4 linked regions of the Mus musculus genome follow. The protein of the gene in region 3 purifies or fractionates together with the protein of the main gene of each other region. This does not show direct contact. Links are inferred from orthologs where the notes say so. Each region holds a gene or a part of one and is shown on either strand. Other genes may lie near its edges. The genes, in order: Git2, Pak2, Arhgef7 and Nck2.

The links.
Region 1: the proteins of Arhgef7 (region 3) and Git2 purify together in Homo sapiens (affinity purification with mass spectrometry; 6 studies listed by BioGRID and IntAct, counting the BioPlex papers as one, with this or other methods). This does not show direct contact. The link is inferred for Mus musculus from reciprocal best matches to the Homo sapiens genes ARHGEF7 and GIT2.
Region 2: the proteins of Arhgef7 (region 3) and Pak2 purify together in Homo sapiens (co-immunoprecipitation; 5 studies listed by BioGRID and IntAct, with this or other methods). This does not show direct contact. The link is inferred for Mus musculus from reciprocal best matches to the Homo sapiens genes ARHGEF7 and PAK2.
Region 4: the proteins of Arhgef7 (region 3) and Nck2 purify together in Homo sapiens (affinity purification with mass spectrometry; 3 studies listed by BioGRID and IntAct, counting the BioPlex papers as one, with this or other methods). This does not show direct contact. The link is inferred for Mus musculus from reciprocal best matches to the Homo sapiens genes ARHGEF7 and NCK2.

Annotation. Positions count from the first base shown.
Region 1 is NC_000071.6:114,763,477-114,767,039, reverse strand, and holds part of Git2 (ARF GTPase-activating protein GIT2), read left to right. Parts: intron 1-482; coding exon 483-588; intron 589-2,366; coding exon 2,367-2,453; intron 2,454-2,562; coding exon 2,563-2,693; intron 2,694-3,563. UniProt on the Homo sapiens protein: GTPase-activating protein for ADP ribosylation factor family members, including ARF1.
Region 2 is NC_000082.6:32,076,480-32,080,629, forward strand, and holds the start of Pak2 (serine/threonine-protein kinase PAK 2), read right to left. Parts: upstream 2,864-4,150; 5' UTR 2,609-2,863; intron 2,573-2,608; exon of another isoform or gene 2,354-2,572; intron 1-2,353. UniProt on the Homo sapiens protein: Serine/threonine protein kinase that plays a role in a variety of different signaling pathways including cytoskeleton regulation, cell motility, cell cycle progression, apoptosis or proliferation.
Region 3 is NC_000074.6:11,726,733-11,731,087, forward strand, and holds the start of Arhgef7 (rho guanine nucleotide exchange factor 7), read left to right. Parts: upstream 1-1,519; coding exon 1,520-1,684; intron 1,685-4,355. UniProt on the Homo sapiens protein: Acts as a RAC1 guanine nucleotide exchange factor (GEF) and can induce membrane ruffling. Functions in cell migration, attachment and cell spreading. Promotes targeting of RAC1 to focal adhesions. May function as a positive regulator of apoptosis.
Region 4 is NC_000067.6:43,567,717-43,571,047, forward strand, and holds the end of Nck2 (cytoplasmic protein NCK2), read left to right. Parts: intron 1-1,431; coding exon 1,432-1,626; 3' UTR 1,627-2,802; downstream 2,803-3,331. UniProt on the Homo sapiens protein: Adapter protein which associates with tyrosine-phosphorylated growth factor receptors or their cellular substrates. Maintains low levels of EIF2S1 phosphorylation by promoting its dephosphorylation by PP1.

The sequences.
Region 1 (3,563 bases), on a different chromosome or scaffold from region 3:
AGTGTGGCTATTTTGATCAGCCTCCAAAGGGGCTGTGGGCTATGCCTGGGCATTTGCTGTGAGGAAGGCAGGGGGAGGGAGGCAGGGGGACCATAACTTTGGATGCTCACCCAATTGAAGTTAGTGATTTCTCCAGTTGGAGTCCAGGGCTTGGAGCTTGACTCCGGGTGATGAGGTAGATGAAACCGAGCGCTCTGTCTGCTGGCCGCAGCGTTCTGGCAGTGCCGGGCCTGTGACACAGGGTTAGATGCTGCTTCCTCAGGGTGCCCAGTTGAGAAAGGTAAAGGGAAGAGAGGCGCTGGGAAGTTCAGGCGTTCTCTTATCAGCTCAGGCCTTTGACTCTGCTGCAGTGGAGTCCAGCTTTGCCCTTCTTACTGTCCAGTGGGGGGGGGGGGGTGTCACTTCCTCTTCTTACAGCACAAAGAATGAGAAATGTGTCAGAGCTGTTAAGTGAACTGTGTTCTTATTTGTTTCCAAACCAGCCCCAATAAAGCAGAATTCATCAGAGCCAAGTATCAGATGTTAGCGTTCGTCCACCGATTGCCCTGCCGCGAGGACGACAGCGTGACGGCCAAAGATCTCAGTAAGGTGGGCGCGCTCTGCCTTCTGTGGGGCCGTGAGATGGGCCGCTTCCCTTAAAGCCATGTCAGGAGGAAGAAGCAGCCTTTTGCAAGTGCCTTTGACTAACTGACCTTTCTCCCTTACACAGCATTCACTCCTCTCAGACACACTGGACAAAAGGAAAACACGCTTCTAAGAAACTGTATTTTTTTCCCCTTTTATTTTCATTTTCATTTAATTGATTAATTAATTTGTACTTTTTCGGTACAGTTTTCACATAGATTTTGATAAGTTCTTTACTTGAGAATAATAGCCATTTCAAAGAAGGTTTTCTAGAGAACCTAGCATCTGAAATAGAGCAGAGGAAGGAGGCTGACTGCTTCAGATGTCCAGGTTCAAGGCTGGAGGGCAAAGTGCACCTAGAGCTGTAGCACAGCCGTGTCTGTTACACCGCGAGCGGTGCCTTCTTGTGGGCCTTGGCTGTTTCTACGAGATGCCGTAAAAATGCACATCACAGTTTTTTGAGCGGTGCTTTGAACTAGATGCTCACTCAAGACAGCGTGTGCACAATTCAGAATACTAATTCTGCACAGATGTAAGTGATTTTCCTAGTGAGTAAATAGTTTCCTTTTTTTACCAAATAAAAAACATGGCCAGGTGTGGTGGCACACATCTTTTTTTAGTCCCCGGTATTCAGGAGGCAGAGACAGGCAGACAGCTGTGAATTCAAGGCCAGCTTGGTCTATATAGTGAGTTCCAGGTCAGCCTGGGCTACAGTGAGTCCTTGTGTAAAGGGTGTGTGTGTAAAAATAAGAAGAAGAATAAAAAGAAGAAGAGAGCGATGACTTGGGCTGGAGAGGTGGATCAGTGATTGAGCACACACTGTTCCTGCAGATGGCTCATGAGATGACTCACGGCACATCTAACGCCAGCTCCGGGGACCTGACACCCCCTTCTGGCCTCTGTTGGCACCTGCACTCAGTGTACATTGATGTACGCATACATACAATTAAAAATAAAATTAAAAAAAAAAAACAAAGACTGGTTCCGTAGGACTCATCTGCCCTGTGAGCCAGTCAGGACAGTTGTAGAGTAGCCCTGAAGGAGAGAGCCATTTGTTCTTTGGGAGTTTAAAAGCGTTTCTGTGATGATACGGATTTAGTGTGCACAGGCCCACTTCCCACTGAGCGCAGCCTGGCAGAATCGCTGTGTGGACAAACAGCACAGACTTGAGCAGGTGGCCAGCGTGTGCCGCGGGTGGCTGGAGCCGCTGGGATCCGCGCTGTGGCAGCAGCTGAAGACTGATAGATGCTGTGGCAGCAGCTGAGTTTTGAATTATTTCCTGTCTCCTTCAGTACACACCATAACCCTCCTGGTAGAGGGCACCGTAGCACCCAGGTTCCTCTGCTCAGAGATTTTCTCAGAACACACAGCTGGAGGGAGGTAGACCTTGAAATCCAACCACACACACACACACACACACACACACACACACACACCACCTCCTGGTCAAGTGCTTCTTGCTGGGTTTATGGTTGTACCTCTTACTGGCAAGTCCTGCGTCTGGGCAGATTGGCCTTGGCAGTCCAAGCTCCTTGTTGTTAAACTGACAGACCCACCTGCAGCCTGAAGCCATTGTAAACAGCAAAGAACCCACCAACCCACCCACCCACCCATCCCAGCCATCTTCCTGAGCCAAACAAGACCCGTTACTGGTGTAAAGTGTGTTAGAGTGCGCGGCCAGCAGCTCGGGCACATCTCTCCTGACACTTCTGACAAGTACTCTGTTTCTGTTTGTTTTTCAGCAACTCCATTCAAGTGTGAGAACAGGGAATCTTGAGACCTGTCTGAGACTGTTGTCTTTAGGAGCCCAAGCCAACTTCTTTCATCCTGTACGAAAATGTCAATTATTCAGATATTAAACGGAAGCTGAGTTATGTTTGGATAGTCCAGGTCTGCTCAGTTTGTTCTTTTTGTCTACTTCTTATTAATAATTCTTAGGAAAAAGGAAGCACTCCACTCCACGTCGCCTCCAAAGCAGGACAGATCTTACAGGCTGAATTGCTGGCCGTGTATGGAGCTGACCCAGGCACACAAGATTCTAGTGGGAAGACTCCTGTTGACTATGCAAGGTGAGAGGCTGAGGTTCTCACTGCACTGCGTGCTGAACGTTTCTTTTTTTCCTTGCTAAGCGACTACTCTGGGTATGGCTTGTGTTTAGCCCCTTTAAAGACTTCCATTCTATTATTTTGTTGATGAAGATGTTTCAAATGTGTGTCAGCTGAGACAGACAAGATGAAAGGACTGCCGAGTCCTAGCTGGTGTGGTTAACACCCGGTCATCATAGCACAGTGGTTTTCAGGTTATAGCATACAGATCAGGGATCAGGAACTGGGAGGGGGTGGCTAGAGAGTGGGCTCAGTGGTTCAGATTGCCATCTGCTCTGCAGAGAACTGGGGTTCAGGGTTCAGTTTCCAGAACCACGGTGCCTCATCTGTACCTCCAATTTCAGGAGATCCAGCACTCTCTTCTGACCTCCAAGGGCACCAGGCACACACACGGTACACTTATGAGCAGACAACATTGTATACGTAAAAGTCAATACATCTTAATTTTTAAAATTAAATAATTAAAGAAGGCTAGGGAAATGGCACACTGAGTGGTGTGCTTCCCTATAAGCATGAAGAACAGAACTGGGTTGGAAACGGCACAGGGCCGCAGCCCTGGCCTGCCTGCTGTCTGTGGGCAAGGTTAAGACAGGCAGATCTTGGACAAGCCTGTTACTGTGTTCTCCTAAGTATCTGGAGCTGCATGAGGGGACTTCATGGGGCCTAATCAATGTTAAAACCTGCAGATTTAACTGATGAAAGATGGATAGCTTTCCTTGTTTTCCCTGTTATTTTATTAACTATGAAGGATCACATTCTGTCATAAAGAATGCAATGGGAAATGACAAAAGTCTGTCCTAGAGTCCTAGAACTTACTTCTCTGGAAGAGATGAT
Region 2 (4,150 bases), on a different chromosome or scaffold from region 3:
GAGAACTCAGAAGCACAGTCTGCAAGTAGCAACTCCCCTCTAATCAGACAACCATCAGTTACTTCTGTAACTAGCAGTGCTTGAGGAGAGAAAGGCCTGACCTAGTCTCAAGACTGGAACACAGTCCAATTTGAACCAAAGCCAGAAAACTGAAAGCACCGAGTACGGAACATTATTACTGTAATAACCAATACTGATGAAGATAGTAAGGATTCAGCCATAGCTACTAGTTTTATACTTGGCAATTATTTCAAGCTCCTGCATTTTGTAAAAGTATAACTCAGAGTTTATCTTTAGCTAACCAGAACAAGTTTTAAATTTCCTCATTTAAAACACGTAAAACTAGCCTTCATCATGTCTAGTTGGAAACTTGCCTATCATAAAAATCAAAGAAACACGAGAACCTTTTATCAGACATATATCAACTAAAAACTATCACTTCATGAATTTAGGTTTCAGGACACGGATCACAAAGCCCAGAAGAATTAATCTCTTTCTCTCAAAAGGTAAATCTGGAATCAAGGCCCCAAGATAAGTGAAATACCCAAGAATTCTCTTTTTAAAAACATGTCTGCTTGCCCAACACAATGGTAATCTCACTGGCTAGGATTCTGACGCAGATCTTAAGTCCAGAAGTTTGAAACAAACCTGGGTATCATAGAAAGAGGCTGTCTCCAAAGAAAAACAAACAAATACCTGCTTTTGGAAACAAATGAGATATTCTGCAGGCACAGGCTTGCAATCCCAGCTACTAGGGAGGTTGAGAAGAAAACCCCAGTTCAAGGCTTACCTGGTAGGGAAGAGATTCAATACCAGCCTGGGAAACAGTGAGACTGTCTGCACAGAGAAGAGAGGGCTGGGCTTGTAACTCAGTGCTGCAAAGAACACTTGCCTAGCATCACAGGGAGGTCTGCGGTTCAATCCGGTACAAGGGGTTAAAAAGGAGAAAGAAACAGCAGAAACTAACTTCAAGGTACTTTTTCATTCCCTGACATTCCTCCCTAGTGTCAAGACAACTCACTAACCTAAGAACAACCCACAGTACCAAAGGATGGCAGTACTTGATACTAATCCATTTCCCCCATAGCCTGGCAGAGGGAAAGGTAATAATGTACTAGTGAAAACAAGAAGAAAACATTTTTAATTTTGGGCAACCTCTTTTACCAAAACCCAAAAGTTACATTTTCTATCTATCTAAGCAACAATATAAAATTCAGTTTCCCTGATGTAAATGTACAATAGTGTTCCTGGCTAATTAATCTCTAGAAAGACCTAAAAAGAGAGGCTACCAAATATGTTGGCTAACACGTGTAATCCCAGCACACAAGGCTGAGACAGGAAGAGTGTCACAACAGCCTGAGCTGGAATGAGGCCCTGTCTAGGAAAGGCAGAGGATGGGTATAAAAGTATACGAAAAAGGCTTCCTTCACACACACACACACACACCCCAACTGAAGAACTGGGGTAGAGACAAGCAAGAATGTTCTACAAATGCCACAGAGCTTCTGGCAAAGTTGACGTGCCCTAACCTGTTTTAAAAATTACTACTCACTGCCTTCATCCCAACCTAATTTTATTCATACTATTCTTTTGGATAGCTCTACCAAAAAAAAAAAAAAAAAAATCCCCAGAGCAAATTCTTGTGTATTTATTTCAATATCCTGCCTACTTTATAAGAGCGGAAGAGTCGAATACAGCAGGGGAAAAACGTGACGTGCACAACCTTCACCCAAAACACAGCTCAGCTCGTCGTTGTCTAATTTTGGGCCTAACCGGTTTGGTTGTCTTTTTTTAAAAGGTTAGAAACGAAAAGCTGGAAAATCTACAGGTCACTTGTAAAGAAGAACCTGGCGGCTATCGATGGGAGTTGGTGATTTGTCAAAGAGGAAACAAATCTCACTTCCACTCTACCTAGTTCTATTAAGACAGGGGATGGAGAGAGCCTCCTTCCCATCAAGCCACAATGGCAATTATTTAACACACTTCTGTCTTGGACGACTTGATCTAGAACTAATCAAAAGGCTGAGTCCATTAAGTTATTTGCAGCAACTTTTTTTTTTTCTTGTGAGGGCGCGCGTGTTTCAGACAGCCAAACATGGTGAAAAGCCAACCTCAGCCCAAGTTAACCTTAAGAAGCAAATATTCACCTCCTGGCTAAAGATCAAGCAAAAACCGTAAGATCCTTAACTTCTGTTCTTAAACGCAGGCTCCCAGAGCCCGGCAAAAACTTTTTCCTAATGTGGAGGAGGAGGAAGAGTTTACACACTGAACTTAAGGAGCTCGCGACAGGATTCCCGAGCGACGAGACTGCAGAGAACGCAGCTGGTAAAGGAGGGAACATCCAGGAACAAACCCGAGTCGTCCGGTGCAGCGCCGGCGGGAGAGAAGGGCAAGGACGGCCGGAGTGGCCAGGGTCCCCACAGCCCAGCAAGCTTCCTCTCGGCCGAAGCTTAGAGCCAGGGCGCAGACAATGAGCCACCGCCCGGAGCCGCGGGCCCGCCCGCAGGTGCTGGCGTCCCGGGCCGCTGGGCCCAGGCCGCGGAGGCGGGAGGAGGGCGGCGGCTCGGCCCGGCCCGGCCCGGCCCGGGCGAGCGGCAACCGCACTTACCAGAGAGGAAAGGTCTCCGCCCGACCCAGGGCGGGCTGCTTGGCCGACGCGGGCGAGCACTGCGCTGGGGCGCTGAGAGGGAGGAGGGCAGGGCGGAGGGGAGCGGCGCGGGGCGCGGCCGTCGCTACCGAGGCCGTGAGGCGCAGAACCCCTTGGGCCAGGGAGGGGAGGGCAGGAGCCTTCGGCAATGGCGACGGCCCGGGCCGGAGGGGAAGCGGAACAACCGCTGCCGCTGCGCGTGGCCACAACCCTGGGGGAGGGCGGCGGCGGGGGCGCGGGGCGGGGCCGTAAGACAGCCCCGCCCTGAAAGTGGCGTCATGACCCGAGGGGCGGGCTTTCACAGGGCGGCTGGGAACCGTAGTCTAGTCATCTGTTAGGGAGACTCAGGACAGTGGGCGTTACAGAGAAAACCTGTCCCTCATTTATCAGCATTCTGCATTGTCTGCAGTTACGGTTTACCTACTGACAAAGCTGACGGAGAACAGCTGATCCAAACATATTTGTGTGTAGAGGGTCTTTGTTTCTGAGAATGTATCCATTCACCAATTGGTGTTTTGTGGGGAGGGATGGCTTTTCGAGTCCTGGCTGTCCTGGAACTCACTCTGTAGTCCAGGCTGACTTTGAACTAGAGATCCTCCTGCTTCTGCCTCCTGAAGAGGTACTGCCCAGCTCACTTTGTTTTTTGGTTTGGTTTGGTTTGGTTTGGTTTTTTGGAGGCAGGGTTTCTCTGTATAGCCCTGGCTGTCCTGGAACTCACTTTGAAGACCAGGCTGGCCTCGATTAAAGGAATGCGACGCCACCGCTTTTTTTTTTCCTACAAATTTAACCAGATTAAGTTGAATCAGATTATGCTGCTAAATTAGGTCCTCCCTCTTTGCAAAACAAAGATTTTTTTATTTTTCTGTATTTTATCAATGGAGGAGTTAATTCATGTATTCTTATTCCACAACTATGTCAATATCTAATATCTACAAAAGACCATTTAGGTACCAGAAATGAACATGCTTCACCTAGTCTTTGTAAAGGTTAAAAACATGAAAACGGTGGTGGCGCACGCCTTTAATCCCAGAACTCGGGAGGCAGAGGCAGGCAGATTTCTGAGTTCGAGGCCAGACTGGTCTACAGAGTGAGTTCCAGGAAAGCCAGGGCTATACAGAGAAACCCTGTCTCAGAAAAAAAACAACCAAAAAAACGTATGAAAACATAAAAACCAAAACACTGATACCTGTTACAAGGTGGGGAAAAAGCTGAGGGATTACCGTGGACAGAGTGGACAGAGAAGGTGGCAGTTAAAACAGAAAAAGGAACTCGGAAGAACTGAGGGGAAAGGATTACAAGTAGGAAGAGGATTGCCACGGTCAGTGAGAGATGAAGGCTAGGCTCACAACCAAAACCACAAGACTTATGTAGCTGCACCTTGGTGTAAGATGGGTATATTAGAAAGTACTGTAGTAGTTGGGCGAGGTGGCATACTCCTTTAATCCTAGCACTTGGGAGGCAGAGGCAGGCGAATTTCTGAGTTCGAGGCCAGCCTGGTCTACA
Region 3 (4,355 bases):
CAATTCAGCACTAGGGAAAGCTTCTTCCGGGTTGAGCAGCTTTGGTCGATAGACTCGGGCGTCGGTGATCAGTTTTGCATTGCCACTCTCTGGACCTCCACAGGGAAGCAAGATGGGAAACTGGCTGATGTGGGGCTCCTAGGGCAGGGTACCTCTCATATGTAACCAGGAAAATGGACAAAAAGTGAGGCTTGGGTCTGTCGGTGGTAAAGACACCGTAATTGCAGCAGTGGTTGGTTAGGGCTGGCTAGCGCTGCTCTGAAGGCAGCTGCCACCACAGAGAAGCTGGCCCTCAACAAACTTCACACTATTTTAATGCTTTGTTTGTGTCTGGAACAGAAATGTAGTCATTTAGCCAGAAGATGCTATTAAACGCAATCGATGGTGGTGATGGAAGCACCTGGAGAATGCAGAGAAGAGAGTCGAACCTGTGATCATTTTTTTGTTTTGTTTTTGTTTTTTGTTTTTAATTGACAGCATCGCATGGCTTCTAGCCTTGAGCAGTTACTGGATGAACGTGCGTGCCTGGCCCAGGGGAAAGGTCTCCTGGGACACTGCAAGCTTTATTTTAAACTGTCGAGGAGTGCCAGCCAGCAGGGAAAGCATAGGACCAGTGGCGGGAGTAAGTGGAAATATGTGTCGATTGACGGTGAGCCCTCACCTACTCCCCCCTTCCCCCAAGGCTCCTGTCACACATCCTTTGCGCTGGAAGAGGACGCCCAAGTTCTGGGCCTAAGCGTGGACAGCACGCTTTCCAGCGGACACCCACCCGAGGTTGCGATGTGCTCTTGATCGCTGGACACGTCACCGTCAATTTCACAAGGAGTCATGCAAGGCTTCTGGCTACTAAGGTCGTCCGCGCCCGCCGCCCCCCATCTCCGCTCCCGCCCCCCGCCTCCAGTGGCCTTGCAGCCAGCCGCTTAGCATCGCGCCCGCGTTCCCGACGCTCGTTCCTGCCCGAGTGAGACCCATCTGGTCACAGATCTAACGAGCATGTGCGTGCCATCCCCGCCGGCTGGCGAGGTGGCGAAGAGACGCCCGCGCCCCGCAGTCGGCGGGCTAGCTCAAGAGAGCATTCTGGGAAGCGCTTACTAATCGCGCGCCGCCCTACCCACAAAGGCGCGCAGCCCCGGGGCGCGCGGGCGGCGCAGGTGAGCGGGGGGCGCGCCAGCTGTCGTGCGCCGGGGCTGGCGCGGGGTGCGCGCGGGCGGCCGCCGCGTCTTTCTTCTCCGGTGATGTCATCGGGCGACGGCGGCCGCGGCCGGGGGGCGGCGGCGGGGGCGGTGCCGGGCGCCCGCAGGTTCCTGCGCCGCTAATGAAAAGGCACTTGACAGCGGGCCAGGGCGCGCGCGAGCCCGCGGAGCGGAGCGGGACCTGCTGGGCCGGCCGGGCCAATCGCCGGCGCGCGGCCGCCCATGGGCGCGGAGGCGGCGGGGGCGCGGGTGGCCGCGGCCCGGGCCGCTCCGAGGTGATCGCGCGCGGCGCCCCCTCTGTGCGCGCAGCCCGAGCCGCCGCAGCGATGAATTCTGCCGAGCAGACCGTTACGTGGCTCATCACCCTGGGCGTGCTGGAGTCGCCCAAGAAAACCATCTCGGACCCTGAGGTCTTCTTGCAGGCGTCGCTCAAGGACGGGGTGGTCCTATGCCGGCTGCTGGAGCGCCTGCTGCCCGGGACCATCGAGAAAGTAAGTGGCCATGGCACGGTCTTCGGGTGGGTCCCCGGCCCGGGCGGGCGGCGGGCGGCGGGGCGCGCGGGAGCACCTGGCGCGCGCCGGCTCGGGGCCCGCGCGCCCTCCTTTGTGCGCGGACCCGGCGGCGCGCAAGGCGCGGGGACCGGCGGCGGGAGTTCGGGGCGCCATTGTGTGCGGGGCGCCGGGAAGGGGACCCGCCCTGAGAGCACAGACAGCGGAGGGGGCCGCGGTGACGCTCGGGGCCGGCTCGGGGTCACGAGAAGGAGAGTTGGCTGTGCCGGCGGCGGTGGGGTTCTGCTCCACCCTAACGTGAAGTTGGGAGGTCGGCTTCGCCCCTCGCCGACACCGATCGGAAAACCTCGTCTCTGTGCCGCGCAGCTTTCTGCGATGGCTTTGTTTGAACGGTTTCGTCGCTGCCTTTGCAGTCTGACTCTTGCGTTGAATGGACCGGTGGCTGGGCATGTTTAAAGGATGCATCAAAAGCCAAGGGAGGGCCGAGCTGTGAAATGACTTACTGCCTTCCCCATCAAGGGATTCTTCACTCAGCCAAGCCTGCAGAACAGCGCACACAGGGTGCTGAAGCCCGATTTCTTTGGGGATGGGTCAGAATTTTTATCCTCACTGCCTGCTAGATTTGGAGCTGTCTGCCTGCTGCTGCTGGCTGCTGGCTCCCTGGCTCTGCAGTGTGAACCTTGACCACCGCTCTGGGTGACCAAAGTTTGTTTTCGTTTGTAAGCTCACAGAGCGGGCCGGGTCAGGGGTTGGGAGCACTTCTAAGAACAACCATGTTTTATAGGTCAAAAAATAATAAAGTCCTGTGTTCAAGATTATGCCAATACACAGTTTACAAGAAAACTTAAGATCCTTAGTAATTTAAAAGGTGTTAAGTACAGAAATGGAAGTGTCCCATAATTAGGAAGAAGTAACACTTCTTAATGGAGTACACACACACACACACACACACACACACACACATGCACATACACACAGACAGGCCCTAGGCAGGACACTCTGTTAATGCATATTAAGTGACCTGAAAAAGCAGAAATTCTAATTGTATTCATAAATTGGCATGCTGCAGTGTCAGAAAACATTTACCATGAGTTCCACATGCGTACCACAGGTTTTAGGTGTTTTCTTGAACATTGTATTGAAAACGACATGCATCTTAGAAGGACTAACTGATGTGGGAAACACTGTTTATAAGTGGGGCAGATCAATAAAGTTACAATTTTAAGATGCAACGACTGAAGAGAGCAGGGTGTGACTTGCCAGACACTGAGAAAACCCGGCTGTCCCCTGGCCATTGGTGATAATAAAAGACAGACGTCTGAGTGAGACACATGCTAAGGTTCTTAAAGATAACCCTGTTCTGTTTCTGAGGCAAAGCTGTAAAAAGATTCCTGTGCTATGTCAATGGACATGTTCCCATCCATGAACACGTCACGTGACATGTTTGCAGCGTTGATGTGGTCAGGCAAACTTCAAAAATTCATATTCTATTTTAAATTCTAGAAAGATCCCGTGAGGAAGTTGCAGCGCCTCTTTCATCTCTGACACAACACAGAGAGAGATGAATAAAAAGGGCTAGCCTCTGGCAGCTAGATTGGTCTCAAACATTCTGAAACTACAGTCGAGTGGAAATCTCTTGGGTCGGTGTTGTTTTAACTCTCTTTTTGAAGGCTGATGACCCTGTACAGATAGTCCCTGGCTCTTGAGTGAGGGGTATTTGTGGGGAGTAAACCATCAGCCACTGTCTGAAATTCTGGATTCCACGAGTTTGCATCTGCCATGAAGTCATCCGCACTTGGCAATGAATGCCTGCATGGAATCACATTTGTCTTGAAGCACATGTGTGGGGCAGCTTTTGCTTCCGTGCTGGAATGCCAGAGGGAGACCCTCTCTCCTTAAAAAGGAAATGCCTGGAAACAGAGCTGAACTTATGTGCGGCACGTGAAGGGTCTTAGCTGGACCCATTGCTACGTGGGCATGCTGACACTGGAGGGTTGTGAGCAGCGTAGGACTTCCCTTTCTCAAGTTCATGAGTTTAAAATGGAGTCCAGGCCTGGGAATGAGTGCCGAAGGAAGGCTTCCCATGTGTCTTTTATTAAGAGCACGTCCTGTTGTGTTTCACAACTGGGTTGGCTAGCGGGGACGGGACATTCCTTGAGCTCCAGCTCAGGCAAAGAAAATGGTGGGTTAGGGTCCCTTTCCTGAAGCCTCTGTGTTTACTTCTCTTTGGAGGCGAGAGGAGTGAGCTACAGACTGGTGGTAAGGGGTTCTGCTAACTGCTGCCTGCTGCCTGCCACGGCTCTTGGTTGCAGGAAAGAGGGAGGCTGGGATTGGCAAGTTTCCCCAGCTCTGGGGATCAAACTTTTGCCCTTTGATTGTTCTCTGAAGAGTCAGGCCTGAGCTGGTCCCATCCTGTTCCCTCCCTTTTCTGATCCCAAACCTGTCTTAGCCATCGGGTCCCTGAGCCTTGGCAGCACCATCCTTAGTAAACTCCTGCTTCAGACACTTCTAGGTTATTTTGTCCAAAGGAGGCACACCCTAGATGCAGGAATTTTAGAGGATAGAAAACCACCAAGCATAATCTGTGCTAAAATGCTGTTTTAATTTTACTCGTGGACGCAGTGTACAAAGTTGCTTAATTTCCCTAAAAGCC
Region 4 (3,331 bases), on a different chromosome or scaffold from region 3:
CCTACTAGGTTTGAACTGCTCCAGGCTCCTATCTTGAAATGGCCAAGGGCAAACATGGGCTCTTTGTCTATAGAACTTGCCCACTCTATCAAACAACCCGCTGGGTTTTGTTAATTTCACATGGAGGCCCTGCTGGGAGAGAGGGCCAGCTACTGGTTCCCGATTAGCAGCAAGTTCCCAGGGATAGGAGCAAGCAGGAGCAGACTTAGAAGGGCCTGTCATGGGTGTGGACTTAACTGCTGCAGGGGAGGCCGGAGGGGCATCCCGACCCTGCCCAGGCAACTAGACTTTTGAGAATAGCCTGTAGAGAATGGCCAACCAGGGGACAAAGCACAATTCAGGGACACCATGAATGGGAGTGAGAAGGGTTGGGGTATGAGTCTCTTCCCTTCCTATGGAGCCACACTGCCTTTTTAGTGCCACAGAATGGTAAGTCCTCCTTTCCCCACCATAGGTGCCATATGCGGTGCAAGCAAGCCACTGCCACCCATAGCTCAGCCTCAGCTCCTTTGACTGTAGAGGTCTTTCCTAACTCCACCACAAGTGCTCAAACATATACGTACAGCATATGTACACTCACGCATACACAAACATACAAATGATTCACGCTCCCATTCACTCTTACATACAACTTTCACAAATGCACATATTCTTTCATACACACAAAGCACACACCTAAGTTGTGTCTACTCACAATCATGGCGTAACCTCCATACCCACCTTCCTTACTGGATGTTATTTAAAGTGGGTGGCTTAAGCATATGTGTAGGGCATAGGTTGCCTGGCACATAGTCAGCATTTAGTAAACATCAAATCAATTGATGCCTCTATTCAATAGCCTTCCTGTTGGCTTTCAGGAAATTAGCTAGATGACCAGTTTTATTTAAAACACTAGAATACCCCAAAATATACTCAATAAGTAAGGCACTGATCTCATCACAGAATTTAACCTTTTCTCACGGAAATTTGTTCTTTGAACCACTGCGGAGCCATCTGTGGGACATCACAAACTCTTTCAGATACACCCATGTTGTCCACTACCTTGACAGTATCTATTGTTAAAGAGCGTAAATTTTAATAGAAATCAGAAGAAACACTTCCAGTTTTCTGCCTGCATGAAAACCACTTTGAATAATTCCCAGTTTGTCAGAAGTAATTTGGGGAAATGGAAATCTCAGGTTTCTTCTGTCTTGAGGTTAACCCAGCTGTCATTCTCTCTGTAACGAGATCCTCCGTGTCAGAGACCCAGCGTGCTGTGCGTTTACCCCCGAATCCATGGAAGCAGAATTTCATTAGCGCTTGATTGTGAGCCTGAGAGCGCTGGGCTGCCAGTCAGTCTGCAGACACTGGGTGAACACTGTGCTTGTTAGGCAGACCCTGGTCTCCTCAGGTGCCTACCCTGCTGGTAACTCCCTTCTGCTTCCTCCTCAGCCCAGTGACTTCTCCGTGTCTCTCAAAGCGTCAGGGAGAAACAAGCACTTCAAGGTGCAGCTGGTGGACAGCGTCTACTGCATTGGGCAGCGGCGGTTCCACAGCATGGACGAGCTTGTGGAGCACTACAAGAAGGCCCCCATCTTCACCAGCGAGCACGGGGAGAAGCTCTACCTTGTCCGAGCCCTACAGTGAAAGCAGCCATTGGCCCCCTCATGCCCTGCCCACTGTGGGCCTCGCTGCCACCTCTGCCTCCCAGAGCCCAGCACTTCTGGCCACCTCCACCCATGTGGCTTGGATCACCTCTGTGGCCCAGTCTGTCCTTCTTTTCAGCCCTGTTGGTCAACCACGGCTACCTAGGCCCTCACAACCATGCCCCAGGCCACCACCTTCTGGTGATGAGGGTCAGAGGGAGCAAAGCTACTCACTTCTTTCCTTTCCAGCTGGAAACAGCCTGTTTGAATCCTTACACACACATACACAGAGAGGGAAGGGGGGTGCAGAGAGAGAGACTGACTAAAAGACTGGAGCTGCTTCAGAGGGTCGCGAGGCTGTATGTAGTGAATATGTGACCTTGGCACACACTCCGAGAGCTGTGTCCATGGGTGTTTGGTGCCTCTCGTCAGCATGCTGGTCCAGACCGGCAGCCTGTGTCCTGGGCCTGCTTTGCTTTGCTTTCTTTCTTTCTTTTTCTTTTTTTTTTTTTTCAATTTTATTTTTTAATTTTATTTTATTTTGGCTCCAGGCACTGCAGGAGTCCAAAACTGTGCGGATAGCAATACTGGAAACCCTGGGGAGATGGTGGTGAGAAAACTGCCCAGTGCCTTTGAGGCTGTACTTGCAATAAAAGAGGGTTTTGGTAAGAGTTGGTCTGCAAAAGAGGAAGGTGGCAACACAGAAAGAAAGGTACTCTGGTGATGTCCCCCAGGTGTGCCATCCACATCGTGCTTTTGCCCTTGGGCTTGTTTGAATTTCACAATTATGTATTTAATTCTCAAAGTAATATGTATCTGTAGCTGGTTGTTGACACTAATAACATGATTAAGGAAAACAGCTGATCTCTTGGGAAGGGGAGCTACCAATACTTTATACATACACTATATATATATATATAATATGTGTATATTATATATATATTATTTGCTTTACAGGGAAATTTTTCAGGGTTTACAAAAGAATATGTGATTAGTAGTAACAGAATGTTTATGAAGAAATTGCATTTTCATTTTTCTTTACATTTGAACTTCTTTATAGTTTGACTATAGAGTCTTGAGATGGCACATTCCTACAATTGAAGAAGGGGTCTTGGGATCCCCTAAACTTGCATACCCGGTTTTTTGAATATTGTAATAAAAAAAAGTATTATGACAAGGCTGTGTGTTTGTGTTTTGGGAGAGCTGACTCTCTTCTGGGGAAGGAACAGCTATAGGAGTCATGGGAAATTCCCCTCCAAAGGAAGATGACGTGCTGGATCCTGTGCCTGCTGTTAACCCAGCATGAGAACCCGAGTTCGGATACTTGGCACCCACAGAAAATTGGGCATTGGTCGTGTCTAATCCTAGCACTGAACACATCCCCAGGCCTGCTGCTGAGGCATTCGAATCAGTCCATGTGCACTGGGCTCAAAAGAACGATAGTAAGAGTGAAAGACACTTGGCCTCTGGATGCATGTGAACGTGTGCACATTCACACATCACTGGCACACAAATGAGAGCTCTCAGAGGACCTTAGCACACTGATTTCTCTACACCTTTTTGTCTTGTAGTATGTATGAGGCAGGGGCTTGTTGTTTGTGGAAGTCACGGAAGTTGGTTCTCCACTTTTATGTGGGATCTAGGGATCAAACCCTGGTCATCGGGCTTACAAAGCAAGCCCTTTGCTTGCTGAGCCATCTCAGCAG